Linked DNA regions of Callithrix jacchus. Each later gene encodes a partner of the first gene's protein in a complex. Links are inferred from orthologs where the notes say so. Each region holds a gene or a part of one and is shown on either strand. Other genes may lie near its edges. The genes, in order: LMAN1 and MCFD2.

What was found.
Region 2: the proteins of LMAN1 (region 1) and MCFD2 are in contact, whole or in part, in a cryo-EM structure (PDB 8JP5), measured with the Homo sapiens proteins. The link is inferred for Callithrix jacchus from reciprocal best matches to the Homo sapiens genes LMAN1 and MCFD2. Residues at the interface, in NP_005561.1 of Homo sapiens: His43, Arg44, Arg45, Phe46, Tyr48, Lys49, Ser51, Phe52, Lys53, Pro55, His56, Gln59, Ser60, Asp61, Val64, Pro65, Phe66, Trp67, Lys96, Phe265, Glu273, Lys279, Glu280, Ile281, Glu285, Lys286, Tyr289, Glu292, Phe293, Phe296; in NP_001164977.1 of Homo sapiens: Val59, Ile60, Asn61, Lys62, Gln70, Glu71, Leu74, His75, Phe77, Lys78, Tyr82, Asp83, Asn86, Asp89, Gly90, Leu91, Glu92, Thr95, Thr98, His99, Val100, Leu111, Glu114, Leu117, Ile118, Ile121, Asp122, Leu125, Asp129, Lys130.

The regions. Positions count from the first base shown.
Region 1 is NC_133514.1:102,360,616-102,364,444, reverse strand, and holds part of LMAN1 (protein ERGIC-53), read left to right. Parts: intron 1-983; coding exon 984-1,042; intron 1,043-1,770; coding exon 1,771-1,903; intron 1,904-3,829. UniProt on the Homo sapiens protein: Mannose-specific lectin. May recognize sugar residues of glycoproteins, glycolipids, or glycosylphosphatidyl inositol anchors and may be involved in the sorting or recycling of proteins, lipids, or both.
Region 2 is NC_133515.1:67,837,394-67,840,165, forward strand, and holds part of MCFD2 (multiple coagulation factor deficiency protein 2), read left to right. Parts: intron 1-470; coding exon 471-602; 3' UTR 603-2,772. UniProt on the Homo sapiens protein: The MCFD2-LMAN1 complex forms a specific cargo receptor for the ER-to-Golgi transport of selected proteins. Plays a role in the secretion of coagulation factors.

The DNA.
Region 1 (3,829 bases):
ATGATATATTGTAGTTTTAAATGTTTTCAAATATGTGGATCATTTCTGACAACCCAGAGAGGAAGGGAGGGAAGATCATATTTTTAGAAGAACTTGACAAATTTTAGGTGAAATAAATTTCTGGAAATTGTATGGCCAATTAATGGTCAGCCCCAGGCAGGACTTGATACGGATTTCTGACTCCAGGTTCAGTACCCTATTACACAACATAATTTCTTAAGTTCCTTAATCTATACTGCAGTATTATATTTTTCTTTTTAATCTGACTACATCTCTAGATCTGTATGCAAATAGTACAAAGCATAAAGATTGCTATATACTTGAAATTAATTGCTCTTGATTTGTGAATGTGACTATCCAGGATTAGTATTTTAGTTAAGGGTTAGGAAGTTTGATCTGCTGAGCCGGTGCTTTTGGCTTGCACAACTTAAATTTGATTTTTGAATATGATTTTAGGTAAGATAAAATTATTAATATCCTCCATGTAAGAGAAACAAATAAGAAAGTAAGACAGAAGGCATTAGGTACTATAAGAAAGATTCAAAGACATAAAGGTACCGGAATTATTTAGAGACCAGGATTTTGTCTCATTTGTCTGGTACATTGTCCATGAAGGGGATTTATGGGAAATCATAGAGGATCTTGGTACCAGAATAAGGAGTCTGGACTTCTTTTGACCCTTCATTTGTTTGTTGATTTCTTATCAGACGTTTATTAAACATCTATTACATGTTAAACACTACTAAATGTTCTGATTTAGGGTTTAAGAAAGTAACATTTAGATTATTTCTAATACAAATCACGTGAATTTTTGTCTCTTAGCTCACAAAGTTCCATTGCCTTTACCAAATTAGAGTTAATTTTTGTTAATTTCCTCACTGATTATTGATATTTAAAGCAATAAATACTGATAAAGTTCATTTACAGTGATAAAAGTAATCTCCTGTGGAACTTTTTTAGACTTTTTTTTTTTTAATTTGTAGATGACCATGATGTACTTTCCTTTCTGACTTTCCAGTTGACTGAACCTGGAAAAGAGCCGGTAATTTTACACATTTTTTCCAAAAAGTTTCTCAGTTTAGTGTTTTTGCCTTTTAGCTGAATGTTTGGGAAGACTAACAGGTTTGGAACTTGTTTCTGCCAGTTACTGCTATATGGTCTTGTGTAAGTCACTGAACCTCTGTAACGCTTCGTTTCTTAGTTGGTAAAACAGAGATGTTTGTATTGGCCACCTCATGATTTTGAAGGATTAAGACAGTGCACTTACAGCAGGGGCTCAGTAAATGGTAGCGGTTAATTATTAGAGGCAAGAGTAGGCTAGGTGTGGTGGCTCACACCTGTAATCCCAGCACTTTGGGAGGCCAAGGTGGGCGGATCACCTGAGGTCAGGAGTTTGAGACCAGCCTGGCCAACACGATGAAATCCCGTCTCTACTAAAAATACAAAAATTAGCCAGGCCTGATAGTGCACACCTGTAGTCCCAGCTACTCAGGAGGCTGAGGCAGGAGAATTGCTTGAACCTGGGAGGGAGAGGCTGCAGTGAGCCGAGATCGAGACACTGCACTTCAGCTTGGGCGACAGTGAGAGTCTATCTCAAAAAAAAAAAAAAGTAAATTTGTTATCATTAAAGTAAAGAAGGAATAATATGTTTATGTTAACCTTTCAGCTAGTGGTCAAATAGTTAAAATGAAAAAAATAGCACATATTGAGGTATCTTAATGATTTTCTTATCCTTTTTATGATCTATTCCGAAACTCCAAAAAAAATCAGCCTACACCAGATAAAGAAATTTCAGAAAAAGAAAAAGAAAAGTATCAAGAGGAATTTGAGCACTTTCAACAAGAATTGGATAAAAAAAAAGAGGAATTCCAGAAGGTCCACCCTGACCTCCAATGGCAGCCTGGTGAGTTGTAGCGAAGCATACGTGGGTGCTGCAGCCGGTGTTGGGGCTGATGATCATGAATGCCTGAGTTTGTGTGTTACTGACTCATCCCTGTTCTTTGAACTGGCACATTCCAAGTGATTCCTGGAAACAATTTATGAGTAAATCTTTAGTCTTTAAGAGTTGGGAGATTGGTATTTTTACCAGTGAGAATGTGGCTTAGTCATTTGTGAAATAGAGTACCATGGTTATGTGGAGGAATGGAACTGCCGGAATGAAAGGGATTTTGTTTGCTATATTCACTGCAGTGTCCGCTAAGCCTAAAAAGAAATCCAAAACAATTGCTAACCTAGTAGTTCAGGCTCAGTAAATGTTTTTGAATGAAATCATCAAAAGTTTATGTTTTTGCTTTTAGTGGCACATAGTTACCTTATAGTGTGGAAATAATCCTTAAAAACTATCAAAACTGCTGTGGAAGTAATATGATATCTGCTTCTCCCCATACTACTCAATAGAATCCTGGACTGTATAGTTGAAAATTATAAAATACTAGTCTAAGCCAATGTAATTAAGAAGTTGAGTGTGCTGATGTCAAAAATAAAACATTTTAAGGCCAAATTGAGGGACTTCATATTATCTGCCAACTTTTTATCTGAGTTGTTCCCCGTCAGCCTAAGTGATCAAAGGTATACTTAATAAAGGCTGAGGCTAGCATTTGAACACGCCATGTAGTATGCACTTCTCTTAATGATGATTAGTATGAATCAGATTTAATGAATTTAAAAATGAAACATAAAAGTCATTCTTATTTTGAATTTGCTTTAAACATCATCACATAAAATTTGTGAGTATATCCTGAAGTTGACTGTAGTGTTTGAAAGTATAGTTTGGTAAATTTTGACAAATACGTTTACCCGTTTAACCATCACCCAGATCATTACACAGAACATTTTTATCATCCCAGAAAGTTCCCTCTTGCCTCCTTCAAGTCAACCGCCTTCTCCACAGAGCCCATCACTTTTTATTGCTATCACTGTAGATTAGTTCTGCCTATTCATATAAGTAGAATCACATAGTGTATATGAAAGAGATATACTTTTCCATTTTAGGTTTTTGTTTTTTTTTTTTAATTGTACTTTAGGTTCTGGGGTACATGTGCAGGTCATGCAGGATTGTTGCACAGGTACATACATAGCAAGGTGGTTTGCTGCCTCCATCCCCTCCATTTTAGTTTTATTTAACTTTTTATATATTTAGGGAGTACAAGTGCCGATTTCTTATATGCTTATGTCACATAGTGGTGAAGTGTGGGGTTTTAGTGTACCGCTCACCCTAATGAACATGGTACTCAATGGGTAATTTTCAGCCTTCATTCCCCTCCCACTTTGGTAGTCTCCAGAGTCCGTTACTCTACTCCATATGTCCATGTGTACCTATGGTTTAACTTTCACTTATAAGAGAGAATGTATGGTATTTGACTAAGTCATTTCACTTGGGATAATGGCCTCCAGTTCCACCCATCTTGCTGCAAAAGACATGATTTCATTTTTATTTTATGGCTGAATAGTAATCTATAGTATATACACACATATATGCACACACATGCCCCATTTACTTTATCAGGTCCTCTGTTGATGGACACTTAGGTTGATTCCATATCTTTACTATTGTAAATAGTGCTGCCATAAACATGTGAATGCAGGTATCTTTTTGTTATAATGATTTCTTTCCCTTTAGGTAAATACCCAGTAGTGCGATTCTGGATCAAATGGTTAATTCTGTTTTTAGTTCTTTAATTCTTGGAGAACAGAATTCTCCACACTGTTTTTCACGAAGGCTGTACTCATTTACATTCCCACCAACAGCATATAAGCATTCCCTTTTCTCCACATGCTTGACAACATCTGTTGTCTTTTGACTTTTTAGTAATAGCCATTGTGACTTGTG
Region 2 (2,772 bases), on another chromosome or scaffold:
GGCAAATTTGTACACAGAGCTGACCCTCAGGACTGGCACTTTTCCAATTAGAAAAGAGCTGTAATGAAACAAATAAGCAAGAGCCTATTTTGAAGGCCCTTCTTTTAAGTGGCAAATGTAATTTCTAAATTGGATTATTATAAATTGACTCAATATCTAATATATATTCTGTCTCTCTATAGAATATATACAGAGTAGAATATATATAGAGAGAATATATATAGACTATAGAGATAAAATGTATATTTTCTGTATATATGTAGAGAGAATATATAGATGGATTCCTAGAAGTAGCCCCATACTCCATTGAAAGTTTTTAGACACATATAAGCATGGACATTTTGTTGGTTTTGTTTTGTTTTGTTTTTAATAAACATTGCCCATGAAAGAGCATGGATATTTTGCACATTAGCTAAGCACTTCTTCCAGTAAAATGTGCAACTCATCATTGTCTAATTTGTATTTTGTAGGAAGGGAGTGAACAGGCACCACTAATGAGTGAAGATGAACTGATTAACATAATAGATGGTGTTTTGAGAGATGATGACAAGAACAATGATGGATACATTGACTATGCTGAATTTGCAAAATCACTGCAATAGAGGTTATTTGGCCATCTCCTGGTTATATGCAAATGTGACCTGTGATAATGTGATTGAACACTTTAGTAATGCAAAATAACTCATTTCCAACTACCGCTGCAGCATTTTGCTAAAAACCTGTAGCAGTTTTTTACACTGGGGCAAGAAGAGATCAAGAGAAATGAAAGAGAAGAGAAATGGGACATCTGATAGTCCCTAAGTGCTATTAAATACCTTATTGGACAAGGGCTTGCTTAAAGCATCTGTATTAGTGTGTTTTCATGCTGCTGATAAAGACATACCCAAGACTGGGAAGAAAAAGAGGTTTACTTGGACTTACAATTCCACATGGCTGGGGAGACTTCAGAATCATGGTGGGAGGCAGAAGGCATTTCTTACATGGTGGCAGCAAGAGAAAATGAGGAAGAAGCAAAAGCAGAAACCCCTGATAAACCCATCAGATCTCATGAAACTTATTCACTATCACGAGAATAGCATAGGAGAGACCTGCCCCCATAATTCAGTTACCTCAATCTGGGTCCCTCCCACAACACATGGAAATTTTGGGAGATACAATTCAAGTTGAGATTTGGGTGGGGACACAGCCAAACCATATCATTGTGCCCCTGGCCCCTCCAAATCTCAGGTCCTCAAATTTCAAAACCAATCATGCCTTCCTAACAGTCCCCCAAAGTCTTAACTCTTTTCAGCATTAATCCAAAAGTCCACAGTCCAAAGTCTCATCTGAGACAAGGCAAGTCCCTTCTGCCTATGAGCCTGTAAAATCAAAAGCAAGCTAGTTACTTCCTAGATACAGTAGGGTACAGATATTGAGTAAAGACACCTATTCCAAATGAGAGAAATTGGCCAAAATAAAGGGGTTACAGGGCCCATGCAAGTCCAAAATCCAGTAGAGCAGTCAAATTTTAAAGTTCCAAAATAATCTTTGACTCCAGGTCTCACATCCAGGTCATGCTGATGATGCAAGAGGTGGGTTTCCATGGTCTTGGGCAGCTCTACCCCTGTGGTTTTGCAGGGTACAGCCTCCCTCCTGGCTGCTTTCATGGCTGGTGTTGAGTGTCTGCAGCTTTTCCAGATACACGGTGCAAGCTGTTGGTGGATATACCATTCTGGGGTCTGGAGGATGGTGACCCTCTTCTCATAGCTCCACTAGGCAGTGCCCCAGTAGGAATTCTATGTGGGGGCTCCAATACCACATTTCCCTTCTGCACTGCCCTAGCAGAGGCTCTCCATGAGGGACCCGCCACTGCAGCAAACTTTTGCCTGGGCATCCAGGCGTTGTCATATATCTTCTGAAATCTAGTCAGAGGTTTCTAAATCTCAGTTCTTGACTTCTGTGCACCCACGGGCTTAACACCACGTGGAAGCTGCCAAGGCTTAGGGCTTCTACTCTCTGAAGCCACAGCCCAAGCTGTATGTTGGCCCCTTTCAGCCATGGCTGGAGTGGCTGGGACACAGGGCACCAAGTCCTTAGGCTGCACACAGCCTGGGGACCCTGGTCCCAGACCATGAAACCACTTTTTGCTCCTAGGCCTCTGGACCTGTGATGGGAGGGGCTGCCCTAAAGGTCTGTGACATGGACTGGAGATATTTTCCCCATGGTCTTGGGGATTAACATTAGACTCCTTGCTACTTACACAGATTTCTGCAGCCACCTTGAATTTCTCCACAGAAAATGGGTTTCTCTTTTCTATTGCAGAGTCAGGTTGCAAATTTCCAAACTTTTATGCTCTGCTTCCCTTATAAAACTGAATGCCTGGGTCTGGGCACTGTGGCTCAAGCGTGTAACCCCAGCACTTTGGGAGGCCGAGGCGGGTGAATCACGAGGTCAAGAGATCGAGACCATCCTGGTCAACATGGTGAAACCCCGTCTCTACTAAAAATACAAAAAATTAGCTGGGCATGGTGGCGCGTGCCTGTAATCCCAGCTACGCAGGAGGCTGGGGCAGGAGAATTGCCTGAACCCGGGAGGCGGAGGTTCTTATGAGCCGAGATCGCGCCATTGCACTCCAGCCTGGGTTACAAGAGTGAAACTCTGTCTCAAAAAACAAAAACAAAAACAACTGAATGCCTTTAACAGCACCCAAGTCACCTATTGAATGATTTGCTGCTTAGAGATTACTTCTGCCAGATATCCTAAATCATCTCTCTCAAGTTCAGAGTTCCACAG